3 linked regions of the Coturnix japonica genome follow. The protein of the gene in region 1 interacts with the protein of each later gene in a biochemical or structural test. Links are inferred from orthologs where the notes say so. Each region holds a gene or a part of one and is shown on either strand. Other genes may lie near its edges.

Region 1 (4,445 bases):
CAGAGGAAAACAAGGCCAAGCACACACAGATGGTGAGCCCACAAATTTAATTTAAAATCATCCTTTATTATTCAAAATATTAAAATTCAGGCAAAAATGCCCAGAGGAGCTGCACTGATTAAAGTTCCCTAATGTTTCATGGCCAAATCTTATCGCTTCCTCCAAGGGTCACTGGGACAAGAAGTGAAACCCCTCTGGAGCACAGACAGAGGCAAAGCTCTACCTGCTGTACATCCTTTACCCAAACAGTTACTTACTGACCCAATCAGCTTCACTTAAAGCAAAGCACCAGCTGTTCCTTACCCAATTAATGATTGCCACAGCAAATTAACATGGCGTTACACCAGGCGTGGATGTGGTCCACAGAGCCCGAAATGCACAGAGCAATATGCTAGTGCAAAAATAATCACAGTAATATCTTTACCGTTAGGTAGCATCCTTCATCTGGAAGGACCGGGAGCTCCCTGTGCGGTGTGTGGCTGGCTTCGTGCTCTGCAGGAAGGATGTGGAGTGCAGGGAGGGGATGTATGGTTGGTGTTTTAAGAGAGATTGAGAGGAGCTGCCAGTGGGTGAGGCAGAACTGACTATGTGTACAGCTCTAGGTTCTTGTGATCCAAATAAATTGTTATTTAACTTCTTGTAAACCCACGTTATTTCTTGGTGCTCTGTGGGTTGTCCTGGGGTGTGGGTGCTGGTGTCCTGGGGTGCGTACAGACCTCTCCTGTCCCTCTGCTCTGTATTGTGGGTCCATAATGTTCTGCTGAGGAGAGCTGAGCTGGTCTCTTCTTGTCCAAGGCGTTCAGTCTAGTTAACACAAGGATGACTCCAGTCCTTAATCAGCCATTGCAGTTATGGCTCCACTATGAGCCTGTGCTTTGTATGATCCTGAGAACTCACCTTAAAGACCACATTCACAAATCAGCCCAGAGGACAGCGGTGTCCCTTTGCGATTATAGGGCTCTCTCATTATCATTACTGTTATTTACATAATGGTGGGCAGGGTTTGCAGCACTGGTTTCCAGCACATTCTGGGTGATGCCCGGGCCTGTTACATCCATCGGGTATCACAGCCCATATGTCCTTATGAAAGGGGCCCATCCCCCCCGCACACAGCGGCCTCTATTCCGCCCCTGCCCTCCTGTTACACCGCCACAACCTCCTCCGTACTACAACTCCCATCAGCCCTCTCGCCCACTGACGCCGCGTGCGTCACCCTGCTCCCGGCATACCCGTGGCCGCACAGCCCTCCGGGATTTGTAGTTCTCTCCCACCCCTCAGGCCCTCTCCGGCGGCGCGGCGAGGGACTCCATTTCCCGTGGGCCCGCGGGCAGCGCATGCGCTTTGTTGGTAGCGGGGGTGAGGCGTGGGGTGGGGGGGGGGTGTGAGCGCGGGGCAGCGCAGGTTGGTGTCGGCGCTGGCTGCGGCCTGGCACTGCGAGGAGGGGCGGCCCCGCGGGAGGATATGGACCCTGCCGAGGCCGTGCTGCAGGAGAAGGCGATCAAGTTCATGGTGAGAGGCCGCGGGGAGCCGAGGGGGCACCTGTGTGCGGGGCTGGGCCGGGGGGAGCACGGCGGGGCGGGGGCGGGGCGGGGTGTCCTGGGCCGCGGGGGGTTCAAGTGCTGTTGGGGGACGGGAGGGGGAGCCGAGCGGGGCGGGGGGCTGCGGGGGGGGATGGAACGCGTGGGGTTGTCGTGTTATTGCCTTCGTTCGTGTACTTGAGGCTGTGCTGTGCTGAGCCCCGGCCCCCGGCAGCTGTGTGCCGTGTTCCTTTCCGCCCTGTGCTCGGAGCTGTGCGCGCTGACACTCCGCTCTCACCTTCTGCTGCGTTGCAGTGATGGTGGATGCGCGGCCTGGGCTGCTGGGCCGCTCTTTGGCATGGCAGGCAGCTCTGGGGGTGATTGCAGCCCAGATGCTCTGCACCTTTACCTACATGTGAGGCTTTACACACTTGAACTTAATTCTTTTTTGACTTCAGTTGTTGATATGGTACACTCCGGTACCATCTGAATGCAATGTCAGTTTTGTGTGCCCAAAACTGGCCTTTCCCTATGGAAGCCATCGAAGTACTTGGCAGCACCTGGTGAAAGTTGACTTAGTGTTGGCCTTACAGTCCTACAGACCTGAATCTGAGCTCATCAGAAGGAAGCGATTCTATTAAACTTATGCCCAAGTGAAATCGAGGAAGTGCTGCTTGCAAATGTTTTCTTTTTAATTGAGCTTTGCAACATTTGTTTGAATTCTGCTTTTTTAATCCCGTAGAACTTGTTTCTCTTGTGGTTTGGTGACCTTTTTGCTGCTAGCCCTGTAGTCTGGCAGATTTATAGGGTCTCTGCTCAGTGAAGTGAGAAAATGCTATGGGTACCTTAAAAGGAAAGGTAGCAATTAGTAATAATGAACCACCTTCTTGGGTGTGCAGTTGGCCAGAGGAGTGTCCCTGAGCCTGCTGTGCTCATGTTGGGCCAAGCTGGGTGATGGCAGCCTTAACCTACATTGTGGCTTCCATATCTTCAAGTGTTCCTGTGTGCTGCCCTGACATCTCATGTGTTGCATTTGTCATTCTGTGCTTCAGTTCCCAGTGAATAGCTTAGTTCCTGGCATTTGAGATCTTCCATAAGGTTGGGCCTGGGACCTGAGGGAATCCCTGCCCATCTCACAGCTGGCAGTGTGCCACCCGAACAATAAAACTCCCTGATGCTGAGGAGAGACCTGAGCATGAGAGAGAGCTGCTCTTAGGAGAGCTGCATCTGGTAAGGGCTCCAGATAAAGGGAAGAATTATTGAGGATCAGGCTTTGCTGAGAGCTAAAAGCTAAACCAAGTTCCTTAATGTTTTATTAAAGTGCCTCTTGAAAGCAAAGTACATGCAAAATTGCAGTGAAAGAGGGAGCTTCCCTCTGATCCCCTTGAACTTTTGAGGTGTACGTGTATTTGTATGGGTTGAGAGTGATAAAAGCTTTTGTTTATATTTATATATTTATACCACATCTCAGGCTTTTGCTTCGACATTAATCTGTGTAGTACATCTCTCATTTTAATTATGTTGATGAAGAGTTTTTGTCAGACTTGGTGTGGGCTTTCCCTGTTCTCCATTTGCTGTCGGTGGAGGTGTATGCAGGTAGGTTGTTCCAATAAATGAGGTCCTGTTGTAATTGGCAGCTCAATGCTGCTGGGAAGTCTCCTGTTATTTCAGTCTGACAGCACTCAGGAAGTGCTTAGGTACTGCAGCAGTGGCAGTGCTACCTACTGCATGGAGGTAGTGGATCCTCAGCTAATGCTGAATCATTCACAGCATATTACCCTGTTCATCGAGTGTGTGATGCACTTTGTGTGCTGCTCCCTTCCCTGAAGAGCTCTGCTTTGGGTTGAGGTGGGCTTTGCTGTTAATTAGAGACTTTTCCCTGAGACCTCCCCAGAGCTGATGTATCTCACCACAGATGAATATTCAAACATCTGTAGGTGTGTGATCTATTATCTCTCCAGCTTTTTTGGTGGTGCTGTTTCTGATGTGAATTTGTGCTGGGTTTCATTTTGTGTTGAAGAGCAGCCCTGTAGGTGGTGTTATTTTGGGGCTCCTCTAGAAAATAATACATTTTCCACTTCATGCGAGTGCCTCATTTTTGGCAGTGACTTTGCGCAGTGCTCCTGAGTCACAAGGTATCAGGCAAGTCAGACCTGCTGATTTCATGTCTGACACTCAGAGAAAAACGTCACATGGAATCTTTGTCCAGTGCTAACCTTATAAATGACATTATCTTGCCTTAAAAGGGGCTATTTATTTTTTAATGTGTCTATATTCATTACCTTCAAGGTAAATCCAGACAAGGTTCTGGATGCTGGTGTGTGTGTGTAACTTTTCAATGAGCCTAAAATCTCATTATTCTCCCTGGCCACTAGTGTCTCCATTACTCACTGATAAAACAGTGCTGCATTCAGGTAATATCTGCTACCAGTGTGTGTTCAGCCACCATACACGTCTTCTGATACTTTCAGCTTTAAGTAATGTATTTAACTTCATTCACATACTCAGTTTACCTCTCTGTTTCAAGAAGGCCTAATTTATTCCTGATATTCAGCTGTGGTGGATAAGCACTATGCAATACTGGGCAGCTGCTCACAGGGAGGGCTGTATCTGCTGGCGAAGGGCTGTTTTCTATCACACGTTCTACATTTTGTCTTTCAAAGCTTCTTTTGAGTGAAACTAGCACATAGATATAAAAGACAGTTGTAAATTACATAGCCCAGTGTTCTACAGCTGCACCAAGGGTTTCGTTGGAGTGGAACCTTAGTTTATTTCATTGCAGTTCTAAGAGACTGATGCACATGCTAAAAGAAGGAGAGACAGGGATGCCTGTTAGCTTAAAAAAGCTACCATCATTGACGAAAACATGTCTTACAGAGCTCTGGTTTTATTCCCTCAATAATATGGGATTTCTGTTGTCATAACCGT
Region 2 (4,607 bases), on another chromosome or scaffold:
GGTAACAGCATTCTGATTAAGAACTCAGGCCTTATGTTCAACAGAAGCAAACTAATGAATTGACTATGAAGATGCCATAAAGTGGGATGTGACTACGATATTTTGCCTCATGTATAACCTAGTGTCAGTAAACAGTTTATTTAATGTAGAAGTCACGTGGAACAGGCTGCAGAGGATTTATAGCTGCTTGCATTTTAGAATTGTTGTGCCTCAACAGAATAACTATCTCACTGGCTATCATACAAGCCTGCGATACTGCTGCTGGAACCATAAACATATTCTCATTAGTGGCCCATGGCAATTTATATCAGAGAATAGCTTGTGTCAAGCCATAGACTGAAGAGCTGCTGCTGTGCAGCCAAATGTTAGCTTTTTTAAACAGATCTGTAACAATCTGGCTACTTTGTCATAACAAAAAAACCTTCTCTGTGTAGAGACTGATACACAGGTATCCATTTTTATCTACAGTTTACAGAATCAAAGGGCCAAAGTCCCACCAGCGTCCTGAAGACAGCTTGGAAAATTCCTAAATTAATACTTTGGATGCCTCCTGCCTGAGTTATCTGAATATTGCTATACCTATCGTTCCTGAAGTAGCATTTAATAGCAACACCATATAGAAAGAAAAAGAAAAAAGAAAAAGCCCCAGTAAATTGGAAGCCTGTATCCCTGTATCTACTTCCAAAGCTGAAGATCAATGTATGCAAAATATATTTCAAGCCGCTTTTCAAATTACAATTGCAATAAGGGTTTTTTCAATGGTACCTTATTATTATGGAATAAACATTTATTAGAAGCTCTTCCAGAATGTTTTGCTAAAGGAGGGGTCTGCAGTGAAGGACAGGCAGCTCTTCCTTGTCAGTAGTGAGAAATTAGTTTAATATACTGCACAAAAGAAAGACAGAAGGGAAGGAGAGATCCCCTCATTAAATGCTCACCATTTGAGCCCTGCTTAATATGTTGACTGATAACTAGTGTACGCAGTTGCAACAAGCAGAGGCCATTCCAAACAATGATGCCCATCTGTTATGGTAGCACTTCAGTCTTAGAACTTCCAGCTGCCACTTCTGGTTAGATGTGCCACATTATGCATAGCCTCGCGTACCAAATGAGTACTGTCTGTACTCCCTGATCATGACTTTTGCAGCTTAAGTATCACCCTGCATGTGCATTAACTGGCTGAAGTCCTTGCAACAGAGTGAGTGAGCATGTGTGTGCATATGCACAGGAGAGAATCATAAACAAGAATAAACCTACTTCCGAGAGGCTGATTTTGCTCTTTTATTTAGAGCAAGCATCTCAATGCACAAAGGCATCTTGCTTTCAATACCAGATACCAATAAAGCACCCAATATAAACACGACTAACGTATCAAGATTGAAGAACTTAAGAACAGCACTAAGAAGTTTAGGGGATGCTACTGGAGTTCAGTCTGACTTAGTAACTTGGATCATGCCAAGTGTCCTATTTGGAAACTGGCACTGGCCACCAACCCCAGCGAGCAGCCTCATTTGTTCTTTGGCCTACAGTATAAAAGGCTTTTAACAAATCATCCCTTTCATCTGCAGAAGCCTAAAGCCCACATCACCACCACAGTAGTATCCAGTACTATAAACTCCTAATCTGGAACTTCAAGTACTCCCTCGACCTAATAAAAACACTTGCCAATGAGAATAGAGCTAACTAAGAGGAACAAGTGATCTTTCCTCTCTCCCAGGTTATATGTAAGCATAAGACAGGGTTACAAAGAGATCCATCTCAAAACTTGGTTCTGTTTGCGTGCCAAAGGGCTGCATGCTTTGGCCTGCGGGATACAGCACGTAAGTGAACCACTGAACTCCTACAAGGCTCCAGGTACGTCAGTGTGGAAAACTAAGTGTGTATGAAGGCTTTTGTAGGGCACAGCCTGGCAGCCCCGGGACATTTAGGTACACTGAAGCATTCACGTAATGGTTTAAAGCAGTGTAGGCTTCATCCCTTGCAAAGGCTCCAAAGCAGGCCATGCCACTAAGGTGGTTTGTGGCCTTCAACAGCCTGGGCTGGTGGTCCCCTCAACCACCACCACACAACACGGGGTAACTGCATATCTGTGTAATACCAACATCCTGCACCAACAGGCTACTAAGACCAAAGGAAGGTGATCTAAGGCCACAGTCATTACCTGGCTTTCATATTGCTTTTTCCTACTCATTTCAATTTTGGCAACTTCTTCATCGGGATCCTGTAGGAACTACAAAAAGAAAAGAAGGGATTTAGGGCCGCTCACCCCCCCTGCAGCACATGGCCACCCACCCCCCAACAAAAGGCCGCGGGAGCAGCTCCAGGCCCGCACCGCCCTCCAGGCCGTGCCGTGCCGCCCGCCGGGCCTGCACTCACCGTGGCCACATCGGCTTTTCTCTTGCGGGCCCGCACGGTCCCCTCGGCGCCCCCTTCCCCCTTGGCGGGAGCCTTCTCCTCCGCGCAGTCGCTGCCAAGAAACGAGAAGCGTTAAGAAAGAGCCGCCCACCCGGCCTCGCTAACGGAGAAGCCGGCCTACCCGCAGGGCCGGCCGGACTCACCTCTCCCTCCGCATGCTGCCCGCCGCCGGACCGAGAGCACGAGCGGAGCCGGGAGCCGCAGCCCCCACAAAGAGCCACGAGGCGCGGAAAGGCCCCGCCGCGCCCCGGGACCCGCTGAGCGCTCAGCACCCCGGAGCTTCCCCGGACACAGCGCGGGCGCGGCGCTCGGTGCCCGCCCGACGGCGGCGGGGACGAGGCGGGGCAGCTCGTGCGGGGCACGGCACCGACTGCGGGCACCAACCGCGGGCAGCTCCTGCCTCACGGCGCGGCCGCTCCCGTCCCTGCGCACATCGCGGCCCGCACCGAGCGGGACATTTAAACGCGCGGCGCGGGGCCGCCTCCCGCCCGCACACGTGGCCCCGCGCCCAGAGCCGGGGGCCGGCACCCGGGTGGGGCGGGGTCTGCGGGCGCGCTCCGGCCCCGGGGGAGCGCGGGGCACCGCGGGGAGCGGGATCACACGGTGTGAGCAGGGGCGGGGCCGGCGGCACCGGGCGGAAGCGGAGCTGGGAGGGGGGCGGGAGGCCCCGGGCGCGACCCCGCGGCGGAGGGGTGAAGCGAGGTGAGCGGCTGAGCCGACGGCAGCGGGACCAAAGACACGGGCTGCCATGGCGGGGCCGCGGCTCTTCGGGCGGCTGCGGGCGGCGGTGCTCGGCGTGGTGCATGTGGCTGCGCTGCCAGGTGAGCGCGGGGCGGGACGGGGAACACGCGGCGCTGCGGGACCCGCTCGCAAAGTGGGCGGCATGGCTGTAGGGGTCGGGGGAAGAACGGGCACCTGAGGGAACCCGCAGCGCTGGGGGAGCGCTCAGAGAGATGAGGGATGACGAGATATAGGCCGGGCGGAGTGCACAGGCCTCGGGACAGCTCGGACACGTGGCTCCCTGTGGTGCTGCGTCCGGCCCGAGTTCTCATGGCTGTGTGCCGGGCCGTAAAAGAGCTGAAAGTGCCGGTACAACACCGCATCAATACCCTCAGATCTGTGAGTGGCTTCAGGAGCGAGCAGATACAGCTGAGCTGTGACGTTCAGCAAAGGGGAGCACATCTCGTTTAACTGTTTTACCCCATTTCTCTCTATTTTATTATGTCAGCGCATATAACTGCGTTATCAGAAAAGCATCACTGGCTGTATGGCTTGCCTTCACATTGGGGTAAATGGCACTGTTGTTGCAGGGACACCGAGAAATTCTCTTCCGTTGGCACAAATAATTGAGCAAGCTTGTCAAGAAGCAGAAGATTACAAGGATGCTGGAGTTGTAAGTCCTGGTTTCCTTCTTCCCGTGGCAGTATTTACACAAAGCTGCTTCTGCACACCCAGTGAATTGAATTGAGTCTGAGTGACCTAGAAATCATGGAAAGCACCTAAAACCACCGAGTTCAGGAAGACATTTAAACCTGCACCTTTTATTTCCACACAAGTAGGCCCTCCAAGTATCAAAACCTGAACTACACAACACACACACCCTGTGGAACTGGAAAAGCTTAGATTCAAACTAATTTGAGTCTTTTAAATAGGATTACTATCAATTCCCAAGAATCAAGTCAATAAAAGAGAAAAAAAAATAAAACAGATGGAAAACTGACAGCAATATGAACTGTTGCTGGCATTCTAGGTATCTGGATGTAGGATGCTTCATCATCCAGTCTGACAAGCTGCTTTACTTAGCTCTGCTTGGCACACTGCGTTCATGAAATCATGGCACAGACATACGTACTGAATGACTTGCCTACAGGCTGTAGGATTTCCCCACAGTTTGTGTTTGTACTGCAGTAGCATTATTCTACAACCAAAAGATTCTCCTAGGTCCTTCTCTGCCCACTGTAATCCTTGGATCCTAGTCCATGGGAGCAGCCATTCCTGCTTTGACCGTTCTAGGTGGAGGCAAGAGAAGGCTACTGCTGAACCACCATTGCAGCTCTGAGCTGCTGTTTTCTGCTAAACTTTGAGTAGGTTTCTACTGGGTTACACTTCAGCAGCAGAAATTACAATGATACTTTACAGACAAAATGAAATGGAACTTAAGAGCTTAGTCTAAATTATAGAAGACAGAGTTT
Region 3 (4,393 bases), on another chromosome or scaffold:
CACACGAGCACCCAGTTGTGGGAACACTGCTTTCCTCTCCTAACTCAAAGATCAGCACTGCACGGCCTATTCATACAGTACCCTCCTGCCAGTAATGCAAGGGAACATTATCTTTTTATTTCCAGATGAGAGCAAACTGTTTCCATTTAGAATACTGGGGTAAATGAGTTGTGGTCAAATGACTTCTATTCCCCAGTTTCTAAGTCTGTACAGTATTTAGAAGAAAAACAAACCAACAAACCAATCACACGCACAAAAAAGCACTAAAAGGTGGCTTGTAAGAGTAGGAAATACTCACTCATCCACTGAGCCTGCCAAGGGCTTCTTGGATCTTTTAATAGCATAAATGCAGCCATCCAGCCTCTTCACACATTTAAATACAGAACCAAATTCACCAGATCCAATCTTCTCCAGCTCGTGAAATTCAGTTGCATATCGTGACTTCATATTACTTTCTGTTATTGTGATCCTCTGCAGAGATTAGAAAAGAAAATATTAAGGTGTGCAGACATGCAAAGTGCCAAAACCCACAACAAGCTCTAAACATTCATTACCTTAGCAGGTCTGATAACTTCATCTTCAGGCTCTCCATCACTCGCTTCCATGTCCTCTCCACAAGAGCTGGAATTCACACTTGTTAGTTTTGCAGAATTAAAACAGATTTACAATTCAAGTCTAACAACTACTGACTGTTTGGAGATTCAGCTCTCCCACTCCCCTCAGGTTTAGTCTAACTGAATGAGGTGTTTATAAGGAGAAAGTCAAAACAAAAACCATAAGCAGCTCAAGCACCATTGTTATTTCACACCAGCACTCAGTGTGTTTGCCCTTCCTCAAGAAACAGCCATGTGTGCAGTCTGGACACAGCCTGATCTTTCTCCACCACGTACTAACCAGAAGATCTAATACTAAACAGTTCTTCCACACTACCACAAATCTCAGATGCACAAGCTCGAAAGCTCTTTTTCACATTGCTAACAGATTGGTAAAGAAAACTATTCTTACAGAAGCAGCTCAAGACAAATTTCACAAAGAAAGAAATACATTACTCACTCATTCCAGTGTGTTCTCTTCCTCCTTCGACACTGCCCTTCAGAGTTGTGAAGGAACATGGAATCGGGAGTGAAGGGATTAATATTCACATGAGGTGTTTGTCTAATATTTGAGTCTTGCTTCTCTGACCTCCCAGCGTTCATAAATAAGGAGCCTCCTCGGAGTTTGACTGAGCTGGAGCCCAGTCCTTGGGCTTTAGAAAGCAAACTCTGTATTTAAAAAACAGAAAAGGCATTTATGGTTTTAATATTGCTTTAGACACAACGAGTCACAAGGGGATTTTCATATAAATGATACGGAGGTGAGACTAGACACCGGGCCACGAATTCCAATGACAGGCTTTAAGCAAAAACCGACCATCTACAAGTCGAAGGGTTGTTCATTAAATCGGGCACAGAAGCCCGCAGCCGGGTCTCCCGAGGATGCTGACCGCTGTCCTACTGCATGGCCAGCAGCAGCACCGCATCCAACCAGCTCCTACCGAGCCCGAATGGAACGTCAACACTCCGAGCGTCCCAGCCCTGCTCTCCAAACCCAAACTAGACGGAGACAGTCAAGGTTCTATGGAACCTCAGCACGGTTTGCGTTCCCGCTGGATAACGTCACCGATTTTCTCGAATTCCAAAGGTAACCTCCGGGATAACCGGCGGGGAATTTGGGTTCTGATCTAAAGTTCTCCGCCGGAACTCAGCGTTAAGCTGTTTGCTTTAAGTGTCACAGGAAAGACGCTCGTATCTCTAAAAGGTTCGCTACTACTCAGCGTAAGCCCATCATCCTTCTAGGCCTTATCTAGACGGGACACTACGCCGCCGGGAAAACCTCAGCAACGGTGAAAGTTGGAAGAAAAACAAAAACCCGACCGCCAAAGTGACCGTGCCGACAGAGCGCTGCCACGTTACCGCTCCGTGCCTCGGCCTTCCCCACGAGCACGGGACGGGCACGGCGCCTCGTTCCGGCCGCTCCTCACGTGTCGGCCCCGCTGTGCGCCGCGCCGTGCGGAGCGGATGGGAGCGCCCCCCGCCCGACACAACCGCCACGGCCGCGCCCGGCCCCGCATTCCAACCGCCGGACGCGAGGGGCGCCGCCCCCCCCGCCCGGTAACGGCCGCCCCGCCCGGCCCGTCGCTGTGCCGCTCACCTTGGGGGTGTGCGGCGTGTCGAACAGCCGCAGCTTGCGGAACGTCTTGTGCGGCGGCGTGCCGGGGTACTCGGGCAGCGGGGAGCCGGGCTCGTCGCTACGCGGGCGGCAGCCGCCAGCCGCGGGATGCGGAGGGGAGCGGCCGGCCGAGCGGCGGCCCTTGTGCGGGGGCGGCGGCGACGGCGACCCGGCCATGAAGTAGGAGCCGGGAGACTTGACGGGAGACGAGCCGAAACCTTCCTCCTCCCACGAGTCCCCCTCGTCCGGCAGCGGCGCGGCCGCGGGCTCCATCATCTCCTCCTCCTCCTCCTCCTCCTCCAGCAGGGGCGGGCCGCCCCGAGCCGGGGTGCGGGCGACGGAGAGCGGCGAGTCCGCCTCCTGGAAGGCCGAGTCCTCGCCGGTGCTGTTCCCGCTGCTGCCGCCCTCCTCCTCCTCCTCGTCTTCGTCCTCCTCCTCGCAGTCGCTGTGGCCGCTGAGGAACAGCAGCTTCTGCCGGATCGGGGCGGCCGCCCGTCGGGCCGAGACCCGCCGCGGCGGCGCCGTGGGCTGCAGGCTGAGGAAGCTCATGGCGGCTCGGCCCCGCTCACGGCCGCTGCTCCGCTCCGCCCTGCTGGCGGTATCGGCTGCTCCTCGCGGCGCTGCCCCGGGCACGGCGGCACCTCGCGCCGTTCGGACTCCGCGGCTTTCCCGCGACCGTTAGTCACGTGACACGCACGCCAGCCAATGGCGCCCGCCCCCTCCGTTTGAAAACACGGCGGGCGGGGGCGGAGCTGCGCGCGATGACGTCACGGGGCGCTTTGGCGCGAACCGGGACTGCGGGGGGGGCGGGGCCGGGACCGACACGGCTACGGCTACAGGGCGGGACGGCGCCATCTTGAGCGCGGGGCGCAGCTGCACCGGGAGCGCCGCCCGGTCTGCGATCTCGGAGATAAGGGTGAAACACACGGTTAATAACAACGTTAGTGCGCAGCCATGTCTGCCTTGATAACTGCTGCTGCCTCAGCTCCGGGAGCAGAGCCCCTGGGGCAGACCTGGTACCGCACAAACATAACAAGTGCCTCACTAATTTGGCCTCGCATTAATTTGGCCATTGCCGTGACTCAGTGCCTCCCCACACTCCCAGCTCATGCACAACGAGGTGGTGTTGCTCAGAGCTCCACCATCATGTCCAAGAATGCCATCAGTTTTCCTTCTGACACAGTGCAGAGGGATGTTTCCAATTCAGCGTCATATCCCATACACTCCTCGCATTGTGATCACCTGAAAACTGAAGGCAGACAATGTAACCTATGAAAGAACAACCGGGCATCATTCACACAGAGATGGCTACACCAAGCCAAGTGCTGTACAAACACTTGCCCTGCAATAATTCAGAACTACAGTAATTCAAAACGTGAATGCACCGTGCGGCAGATACCAACTGAAGTATTTGAGTTTCAAGATAGATGGAACACAAAAAGGCCTTTACAAAATACAGCTTTCATCTTGATCAATGGCCCACAGGAGATGAAAAGCAGTTTCTTATAAAGAACCTAAAAATTGCCCCTTCCCTCCCCCCCGCCAAAAAAAAGGGGGGGAGGGAAGAAAGTAAACACTTCAGTTTCCTTTCCAAACTCCACCTAAATGTAACTGTTGCTGCACTGCTTTCTGGAGTCTACAGATACAGCTATTTAATGAGGGTAAGTAGCAAATGGAACTGCAGAAGGTTCCTTGTACAGAGTAACCACTTAACTGTTGATCCTTGTAACAGCTTAAATGGGACAACATCAAGTGGAACAAGGATGAGTTTGTGCAGAAGAGGAAATAGATCTAAAGAACACTAAGAGAAAAATGCAAGAGGAGAAAAGGAATGGTGAAAGAAATGAACAAAATAAACCCAATTGTTTAAAAAGAAAGTTTATTTCCAAACTGACAGCAAATAAGGAAGTATTGCATAAATATGCAACTATAACAAAACGTGTAGCTGCTATAAAAGGACCACGCATTCATGGCTTCTACCTACGTGCCATCCTGAATCCACATAAGCTGTTGTTTTTGCTGTATTTTGATGGGACTGTCAATAGTTGTATTGAAGAAAAGTTGGTTCTTCCCAAGCATGAGTATGGTAACTTGGCTACCCTGCCCACCATGAACAAGGACTAACATTACCAGGCCTATCAACAGCCTAAATAAGCACTACAGAGCCTATTTCCTTAGAGAGTAC

Evidence for each region. The genes of interacting proteins can lie anywhere in the genome.
Region 2: of the proteins of BTRC (region 1) and CCNE1, one has a biochemical effect on the other in vitro, tested with the Homo sapiens proteins (2 studies listed by BioGRID). The link is inferred for Coturnix japonica from reciprocal best matches to the Homo sapiens genes BTRC and CCNE1.
Region 3: of the proteins of BTRC (region 1) and WEE1, one has a biochemical effect on the other in vitro, tested with the Homo sapiens proteins (2 studies listed by BioGRID, with this or other methods). The link is inferred for Coturnix japonica from reciprocal best matches to the Homo sapiens genes BTRC and WEE1.

Annotation. Positions count from the first base shown.
Region 1 is NC_029521.1:20,074,626-20,079,070, reverse strand, and holds the start of BTRC (F-box/WD repeat-containing protein 1A), read left to right. Parts: upstream 1-1,361; 5' UTR 1,362-1,461; coding exon 1,462-1,509; intron 1,510-4,445. UniProt on the Homo sapiens protein: Substrate recognition component of a SCF (SKP1-CUL1-F-box protein) E3 ubiquitin-protein ligase complex which mediates the ubiquitination and subsequent proteasomal degradation of target proteins. Recognizes and binds to phosphorylated target proteins.
Region 2 is NC_029526.1:7,172,133-7,176,739, reverse strand, and holds the start of CCNE1 (G1/S-specific cyclin-E1), read right to left. Parts: upstream 2,908-4,607; 5' UTR 2,573-2,907; coding exon 2,559-2,572; intron 2,468-2,558; coding exon 2,377-2,467; intron 2,231-2,376; coding exon 2,162-2,230; intron 1-2,161. Other genes in the region: uncharacterized protein F13E9.13, mitochondrial-like, read left to right, coding at 3,164-3,236, 3,726-3,808. UniProt on the Homo sapiens protein: Essential for the control of the cell cycle at the G1/S (start) transition.
Region 3 is NC_029520.1:13,541,782-13,546,174, forward strand, and holds the start of WEE1 (wee1-like protein kinase), read right to left. Parts: upstream 2,908-4,393; 5' UTR 2,758-2,907; coding exon 2,191-2,757; intron 1,263-2,190; coding exon 1,054-1,262; intron 622-1,053; coding exon 555-621; intron 472-554; coding exon 299-471; intron 1-298. UniProt on the Homo sapiens protein: Acts as a negative regulator of entry into mitosis (G2 to M transition) by protecting the nucleus from cytoplasmically activated cyclin B1-complexed CDK1 before the onset of mitosis by mediating phosphorylation of CDK1 on 'Tyr-15'.